Linked DNA regions of Neodiprion lecontei. Each later gene encodes a partner of the first gene's protein in a complex. Links are inferred from orthologs where the notes say so. Each region holds a gene or a part of one and is shown in the gene's direction. Other genes may lie near its edges.

Region 1 (4,884 bases):
TATCCGTTGAACCAAATTTAGGGACTGTACCTCTGAACGTTTGATTACAAAAGCAGATGGTATAGCGCCAAGTTTTAACTTGTATCTACCACGTTCTATCCTGTGAATAGTTCCGTCAGGCATTTTAGTTTGATAACATTTTTCGACGTCGCTATCATGGAAGTGAAGTTCGCAAACTGAGTCATTTGCAGATAACGTTCGGTCATCGCGAGCCAAGGCGGCATTCCACTTGTTCCGCAGCTCTTCGCACTGTGATGTAGAAGAATATGTTTTTCGTTACAGAAAGTGATAAGTTCCTAATGTTTATGCAACGCAAATATATCATTTCCAAAATTTTTGAATAGCCCATAATTCATATATTGCTGAAGGAAACAAGCATTCGCTTACCCGTGGTGTACTAAACAAAGTTCTTCTCCTTTTTCCTCTAGAAGTGCTTTCTCTGTTTTCAGATGCGTAGCCACTCGAGCATCCGCGGACGAAACATTTTCGCGTCATTCTCGGTAACTCATATTAAAAACGCGCTCGTATAAACGTATATAAAAGCGAAAATATGTGCGACAGATGCTTACCAAACTTTCGTCACCTCCACTTTGTTTCCCTGCTGGTTAACTACTGTGGCCACATAGTGTATCGCAGTGCTGCCAGGCGAGGACAACGGCAACTATGTCCATTTTATCCCGTTTTTAGCTGGTTACACTGGGTGCCCACCGACTGCGATTTCCCTTGTTTTTAACTTAAGGCTGGGATTCCATGGGCAGGAAAAAGGAGCAGCAATAGCAGCAATTCACTAAAAGTTACCAGCACTTGCGGCGCAAGTTTTTGATGTTTGAAATTCATCATTAAACCAGCAAACGCAAGAAATTTTATGAGCAGAACTGCTGCTGCGTCAAATCACTAGACAGATATTAGTAACATCTAGTATTAGATACTAAACTGCTGCTTATTTCTGCCAATGAAATCCCAGCTTAATAGCAAAGGTAAAATTTAAACTGCACTTTGTGCGCACTGAGTGCGATTTACCCAGTTTTTGGCCAACAGAAAAACCGAAATCCTAGGGAAAATGAATTCATAGCGTTTTCCACTGGTTGCACTGAGTGTGAACTGAGAGCGCACTAACGGTAGACTCGTATTTCCAGCGTGTTCCACTGGCAGCTCGAGTGCGTGAATTTAGCACTGAATGCGTAAAATATTGCCCTGAATTGCAATTATGGCTGCCGATCGTGAAAGAGTCGAAGTAGATGCTGTGACAGCAACTCTTTTATTAGATCTAATTTAATCTTCGTCTAGCAGTGATGATGCCTGCTGGAGTCGAAAGATAGAGGAGAGATTCCCAAAATTTTTAACTTCATAGGAGTAATCCACAGCATGTCCGATATCGAAGTATGGATACACATTTTTTCAGCTTCTAGAAGTTAACTGCTAGGTATATTTCAGGAAATTGGGACAACTTGACTTGCTGCTTATTAATTTTTATATTTTCAAGTCAAGTCAAGTAACGTCACATTATTTCTGATTTGATATGATCCCATTGATAGACAATTCATCTTACGCTATGTCTAAAAATCCCTAGAACTCGGTTAGCAAGTTTGTTACCAAATTCACCCGAAGAAGAGAACCGAACACCGAAAAAGGGTTGTAGCCGTGCCCTTGACACTCACCACTGCTCGTATACTAAAAAATTGTACGCGTTTTGTCCCCATTTTTTAGTTCCGCTACCTGGCGCTAATAGACTTCTGATACGCACGCTGCCCTCGTTGACTGCGCGCAAGCCGTCAGACAACTACTAGCGCCACTAGTGGTGGAGATTGGCGGCAGAATCGAGGGACATTTTGCGAACCACTTTTAGCAGCTTGTGTAAGGGGCTGGTTGTAGCCCACTGAAACTACTTACATCTCAGTGTTGTAGCCACCCAAAGCGAAGAGCCGCGGGAGGATAAATCGTGTGTGTCGTGTTGAGTGCTACGCCGTGAAGCCGGTTGTTTAATCCGCGATCGTTCAGGTAATTGTACTATGCTTTTATTTTGTACAAGTATACATTTCGCATGACAAAAATCCGGCCACAGAACTGAAACGTCGAGCATAACCTCCCAATAACGCGTCAATCAAGTCTCCGTACCGCTGTCCAAGCCAACGAGAGTACGCGTCGTCATTTAGCGTATCACAAATTAACGACAGTCGAATTTCGCGACGAGTTTGTGTCTATCGGAGATCATTCGTATCGTACTGATCTCGTTTTCTGTCCCCGAAAGCTTTCACCTTATCTGGACGCCTCTTACAATAATCTATATTATTATTATTGTTATCGTGGATCTTGCGCTGTATTAGTTTTCTACGACTGTACGAGTTGAGAATAGTAAACAATGGTCTCTATTATTAATCTGGGCACTTTGTTGAATCGATCGTTTACAAAATTACAGATCATAATGGCAGATTCTGATGACGAGTACGATAGAAAGAGGAGGGACAAATTCAGAGGCGAAAGAACCGAGTCATACTCCAGAGAAGGAAGACGTGGCGATGATCGTCGCCGAGATGAGTGGGTTGACAGGTACGTGCAAATCTTTTACTCTAAGTGAAGTTCTTTTAGGTTCAGCTCTGCGAAGACAATTTCAGATGCTTCATTAAAAACACTGTCCAAGCAGCAGTCCAGGCATTAACAACATTTTTGTAACAACAGATTTGCTAGAAAATATAATATATTGCAACAGCAGTATTGTCTGAAATTTGGTAAACTGTAACGAAGTTATACCATACCCTTAATTTATATTTTGGAAACTGAATTTATTCGAAATAGTTCCAAAGATGCAGATGCCTGATTTTTCTTAAATGTTTCATCACATTATCGTTACTAAGTTCAAGGTCATTAATAAATCTAAATAGATGAGAGAACAATCCCGTATGCTGAATAATTTATATGTCGAATCAAGGATTAATTACTTGGGTTGTTTAAATGAAATTTCGGAAAAGAGTTAAAACTGTTTAGAAGATATTGTGTTCACTATCAATTGCCCAAATAATACTGCGGAGGATCTTCTAAACTACTTTTCCTTTCTTTCCTTTGTTCCTAAATTTTCGATTCAGACGGTGGAACCCATTGACCCTTAACATTGTGCTTTTATCAATTTAGATTTTGTATCGTGTATGCTACAAATCTCTCGTCTATAGGTTTTATAAGAAACCTGTAACAATCAGAGAGTTTAGCATGATAAAAAAAAATGTAACAACCCTTAGCTTCAAAATGAAGTTTGAAGGAGTTGAATTTCAAAGATACAAATTTGCCAAAACAGTATGATATGCAGATTTTCTGGATTTCAGACACTTCAGAAAGTTAATAGACAACGAGTATTTTTGATATTCCGCCATTACGATAACTTCGCAAATTTTAACGTCATACTCAATTGTATTCATTAATTCTTCCTCTTCTATCAAGCCTTGCACTTGTATTTTCAAGACAACATTTTATACCAAATGCACCCTTGTATTAAAAATTTTGATTTCTGTTCCCAGGGAATGGTCGAGTCGTCCAAGAGCGAGGCCCGAGTACCGTGAGTATCGAGGTGGCGGGGGAGGCGGAGGTCGAGAGCGATACAGCCCAGCTCGATCCCAGGAAATGGCTCCGCCGATGAAGCGGATGCGGGCTGACTGGGAAGACCGTCCGCGTTACGGGGGCCACGATTATTATGGTGGCGGAACTTCCTGGGGTCCAGATCATTACACGCCGGCACACCATAGCAACCATCACTACGGCAACCATTCAAACAACAACAGGTGAGCTTGTCTGTTTTTTCTCTTCAAATGCCCATTGTTACTTTTATCACAAATAGCTGCATCTGCTAACGATCGATGAGAATAAGGTTCCGTGGTCATTTTATTTTGTCATTTACATTAATTATTGTCTCGCTGTAATTAACCATGAAGAGATTATATGACGATAATAGAGTTTTGTCCGCTCTTATTTCGCACGGCATGTTGCCAAAGCGCAGCAGATTCACGCCTAGACTTTTGGCCAGGATGAGGTAGGTATTCATTATTTTTTCTTGATATTACGCAAAATTGTTGGAGTTTGTAGCTCTAACAATGAAGATTTTTGAAAACCTCGAAGTTGTTGAGATTTCTTAAGCTTTCCTTTGACTTAATAAACACTTAAATGTTGAGCGAATACAATGAAGGGATAGAATAAGTCTTGAATTTGACAATGATGTACAGAAGAAGTGGCGTTCATGGTTAAAATTTTGAAAATAATCCTAACCAAGAATGCTGCATTTAAAACGTAGTGATTATTTGCAGTGTTAATATAAAAAAAAAAATTGAGGTATAGTGTGGATGTATATGGATATTAACAATCGAATAAACTTGAGAAAAGTGCGCATTGACGTTGAAGTTTTTCTAAAAATAGTGATCAAAAGCGACGATGCCCGATCTAACATTCTTGGCGTGCATGTACACGAGTTGTGGCCCCCTCGTACTCAAATAAGTTCAAAGCACAAACGATATAAACACTTTAGACCGCAGACGATAACACACGATCCACGTTATGTTTGCATACAGGATTGCCGCTTTTGGCGCTGTCAAAAGCACTACACATATCAAGGATATACTCCGTTCCATGAGAAAAAATTGTTTTTTTTATACTTATTGTTATTGTGTAGCAAATTTCATTACGTATTTGTGCAACTGAGAAATATTTCAACATTAATTTTAATTTTAAACTCTGGTAAATAAATAACACCCCGAGGATTTTCGTTTAATTTACAAAGTTGCACGGGAGCCACCTTAAATAAAATCTTTCTGAATCCTCAGAATCCATTTCAATGAAAAATCAATCAAAATTGTTTTAAAACGTTTGAATAATATGTGTTATTATCGAAAATGGACTTGGTAACAA
Region 2 (4,203 bases), on another chromosome or scaffold:
GATGGGGGAAAAATTGTCATAAGAATCGGATCGAAGGAAAAATTGTTTCGTGCAATTCATCATGGGTCGAACCTGGTATGCTCCTTGCATCTTTGAGCAACATTTTTTTATACTGTACATGTCGAACTTTGTCTGGATCCATTATAAAAGTCCTTATTAACCAGACACGACGGGTATCATATGGAAAATTTTTTCTTCGTCATTTATTTTCTTACAAATTGGAGTAGCTGGAATATGAACAAATAACGTTTGATTGCGAGTCTAGCAGATGCTAAGGACCTACGGCAGTGATGTTCTGCTTCAAATTTGAATTTCCGTTGTTTACAGTGATACGAATAAGTACATCGACTTACATTCACTGTGTGCAACTCCTGTATCTATTTTGTCTGTAATAGATTCGGTAATATGTTGATACTGCGTGAAAACACCAGACAAGGACTTCCTGATCGTGCCAAAACCCTGTTCCAAGTACGACGGCTCACAATTGACAGGTGTGGGGCTGAAACAATGCATGTCTAGTTTAGAACATCATGACTCTCGATAATGTAAGCAACCTAAGAAAAATTATGTCTAATACTGCTGATACTTGTGCTGAAATAATTCACACATTTTATGGCTGAACCAATGTTATGAAGTGCGGGATAAAGGGGGACGCGATCGAAAGGATGCCTTACTGGGTTCGTTTGCTCTGAGGGACGTCGAGTCAGATATCCAAGCATCAATTGCAGGCTTGACTGAAAACAATTCTGAGCGTTGATCAATTACTTGCTTTACCATTGGTCCACTTTTGACGGTGAGCCAAGCGTATATATCGGCAACTCGGAGGGGCGAATCAACTTCTTTTCGTCTAGTTCGCAAGGCGTTGGACAATTTGACGGAGGAGGGGCCGGCTTGACGATCGGTGTCGCTGCGCACAGCCCACAAGGCATCAGGAATTTCTTGAAAAACTTAAGTAACAACAATTGTTAAAAATATGAATTTAAAATAGAATTGGAAATCGGAGTACTGATAAAATTGATATCAAAATTTGAAATTAAATGTCTTTCTACTCCGTCACGCAATATTTACCTTGATTCCGTGCATGTTGGTCGACGGATTATTTCTCTTCTACTTATACCGAAAGGTCGGATAACCTATCAAGAGTGTCACTGGTCAGTCAGCTGTACCAGCAGACATTCACGTGACGTAATCGACGAAGAATATTCTTGACCGGAACGAGCGGAACGGGCGGAACGCGGACCCGATTGTTTAAATTTAATGTCCGCGTGATGTTGGGAAAAAATTTCACAACAAGCTGCGATTCGGATATGCACGATACCAACGGTTGTGAAATGCGAATATGCGAGGTAACGAGAATTTGAAACGGATGTTTTTCGATGCTATTAACGCTATGTGTGTATAATTAACGGTAAAAACATTTTCCCTCTTCGCAGTGTCAATCACGCATGCAAGTGAAGATGGAAAAAACAATTGACCTTGTTTTTACAACTCTCGACTTGTTCGTTATTCCTTTTCTTTTACGTCGTCTCTTTCCGTCAATTATTAGCCACATGTTGTGCGCTTGTACAACTATTGCATACCCGTTATACATCGTCCTGCATCTTGAAGAATTATCTTATCTTTTCCTCAATACCGACATTGAACTCATGGACGATCCATGCGCACAGCATCGCTGAAATGGGTCTTAAAAATGACGTGATAAAGATACGTACTTTAACGCCGGTTCGGCCAAATTCGACCAAAGTTCCTGGTTGGTAGTCGTCGCAACGATCGACCGGCTCTCGACAAGTTATGTCTTTACCAAAAATATTGCCAACCGTTTTTTCCAAAATACTGTGCACAATGTCCTTCATCCTCCGTTATATTGGTTCTTAATCTTTCGCTCACGTCTTACATATCAAACTAATAATTTACCATTTGGATTTGTTGCGTTTTCAGGTTGAATTTCGGGTTGGGTCGTTCAAATATGGCGGGTTCGTCGCAGTCCGTTTCCAGCTTTCCGCTCGGCTCGCGGTCCACCGTCCGCGTTCCTATCGAGCAAAACGTCGGAACGCAGCGTAAACGCCATAAACGCACGTATGTCGGAGTTTGACGGCGCATTTGACTTTTCTGGTCGAATAAACACATTGGGATACTACAAAAGTTGATTACCAAATTCACGGTACGAGGATAAAGCGATGGCACTATCGACCAGTCCAATTTCACCGTCGGTTGACCTCAGCTCTTATCGTGACCAGCACTTTAAGGTTCGTACTTCGATCACTCTACGCTAACATAACCTGTTCAATAACATTCGACGTGTTAAAAAACATTATTACTCCTCCTTTAGGGATCTCGAGTTGAACAGGACCGATTATTAAGGAACTCGACGACTCTGTACATTGGTAATCTCTCGTTTTACACTACAGAGGAGCAGATATATGAACTATTTTCAAAGTGCGGAGACATTAGACGAATTATTATGGGACTGGATAAGTACAAAAAAACTCCATGTGGATTTTGCTTCGTCGAGTACTATTTGAGACCCGATGCGGAAAACTGTATGCGATATGTTAATGGGACCCGTTTAGACGATAGAATTATACGTACGGATTGGGACGCTGGGTTCATCGAAGGCAGACAGTATGGTCGAGGAAAGACAGGTGGTCAGGTAAGATACTTTATTCTATACCTGAATATCGGGGAACTTGAATACGGGGCACCGACTAATTCTGCCAGTCAGGAAACTTATCTAATAGTTTGAATTGATTTTAAGATTCAAGTTGATACTTTAACATGTTGCGTGAGTTACTATAATGATTGATAATTTTCATCTAATTACCAGGTCAGAGACGAGTACAGATCCGACTTTGACGGTGGCAGAGGTGGCTATGGAAAAATAATCCAACAAAAAGTAACACCCGTTGTGGATGGGGCATTTGGTCGATGAAGTACACACTTATGGATGACAATCACATTTGATCATGATCGGTGATGTGCGTATTGTTTAATTCTATTCATTGACAACTACAGGCATATTGTGATGAATATACAAAGATTTGGGGTGACAAAGAACTTTCGTGTGCGAAAGAGTTATTCTATCTGGTTCTCCTTATTTCATTTATTTATATTTGTGTAAGTCATTAAATGATTCATGTTTCGTGACAAATGGAAGAAAGGTTTTCACACCCACAATATGCACGTAAAAAAACTTTATTCCTACGGATATTATATTTAATATGTATAACGTACACGCGCGATACAACTTTGGTTGACAGTTGAAGATTTTTTTTTTTATTAATTATTATATTTTGTACAGAAAAGACACACGTATATTCGCACATTATACATTACAATTATATATGCATATCGTATTGTTCTGGATATAAGCCGAGGTTTTTTTGTCGTTGACAGCAGCCGCCAAAATCGTCGTCGTCTAATACGCGGACCAGTCTTCTGTGCGTGTAATCAAGAAAAACATCCTGAAATACTGTCGCAGAATTCGGGGACCGCTTATACTCTGAACAATACTGTATATATATATATGTATGTACACGGCAGGACTCGAGAGGGATTCTTTGGTTATAATTCGTTCTTTTCGCGTCTTTTAGTATCAGAAATGAAGCTTCGGCGATATAACTTGTCCAATCATAATATTAATGTTATTAATGGTAGGCACCGGTTAAAATAATAATAATAATAGTAATGCTAAAATTAATAACAATAATCTTATCGTTTCTTATTGACGGGTAGCCCCGTAACATCAACAATTTTCAAAGTACCGCGTGAATATATGTGATGTATACGATTGTGCTTGTATTCCGTTTCAAAGAATACCGCACAGTCTCCGCGGTGCCGGTTTTTTCAGCACGGATCTAATCCCCTCTACAAATACCTCTTCCAGTCCCTCTGACTTTATTGCCGAACATTCGACGTATTTGTAGGCCTTGATTCTCTTCTTCATCTTCTTACATTCTGCCGGTGTTATTACATCCGTGTCCTCCCTGTTCCTCAGGTCACCCTTAGTGCCTATCCAAGATATATGATAAATAGTTTTAAGTGGAATCTAAAGTCTGATCAGTTGTTGGCAAACACACATCACTCGTAGCAGCATAATGTGGAATATTGAATACTTGAAATATTTATTACACACTTACCGACAAGGACAATTGGCACGTTGGGACAGTGGTGCTTGATTTCCGGATACCATTTGCTGGCTACGTT

What was found. The genes of interacting proteins can lie anywhere in the genome.
Region 2: the proteins of serrate RNA effector molecule homolog (region 1) and nuclear cap-binding protein subunit 2 are in contact, whole or in part, in a cryo-EM structure (PDB 8PMP), measured with the Homo sapiens proteins. The link is inferred for Neodiprion lecontei from reciprocal best matches to the Homo sapiens genes SRRT and NCBP2. Residues at the interface, in NP_056992.4 of Homo sapiens: Asp857, Arg859, Ala860, Ile861, Val862, Glu863, Tyr864, Arg865, Ala869, Asp874; in NP_031388.2 of Homo sapiens: Ser48, Phe49, Tyr50, Thr51, Thr52, Glu53, Gln55, Lys67, Met71, Leu73, Met76, Lys77, Lys78, Thr79, Ala80, Tyr89, Asp107, Glu121.

Annotation. Positions count from the first base shown.
Region 1 is NC_060264.1:19,007,176-19,012,059, forward strand, and holds the start of serrate RNA effector molecule homolog, read left to right. Parts: upstream 1-1,841; 5' UTR 1,842-1,998; intron 1,999-2,416; 5' UTR 2,417-2,422; coding exon 2,423-2,547; intron 2,548-3,506; coding exon 3,507-3,767; intron 3,768-4,884. Other genes in the region: uncharacterized protein LOC124294542, read right to left, coding at 31-249, 388-495. UniProt on the Homo sapiens protein: Acts as a mediator between the cap-binding complex (CBC) and the primary microRNAs (miRNAs) processing machinery during cell proliferation.
Region 2 is NC_060261.1:34,859,673-34,863,875, forward strand, and holds nuclear cap-binding protein subunit 2, read left to right. Parts: upstream 1-2,023; 5' UTR 2,024-2,177; coding exon 2,178-2,246; intron 2,247-2,329; coding exon 2,330-2,650; intron 2,651-2,824; coding exon 2,825-2,929; 3' UTR 2,930-2,975; exon of another isoform or gene 2,976-3,054; intron 3,055-3,250; exon of another isoform or gene 3,251-3,393; 3' UTR 3,394-3,697; downstream 3,698-4,203. Other genes in the region: MICOS complex subunit MIC27, read right to left, coding at 354-499, 775-947, 1,069-1,083; ras-like GTP-binding protein RhoL, read right to left, coding at 3,806-4,008, 4,137-4,203. UniProt on the Homo sapiens protein: Component of the cap-binding complex (CBC), which binds co-transcriptionally to the 5' cap of pre-mRNAs and is involved in various processes such as pre-mRNA splicing, translation regulation, nonsense-mediated mRNA decay, RNA-mediated gene silencing (RNAi) by microRNAs (miRNAs) and mRNA export.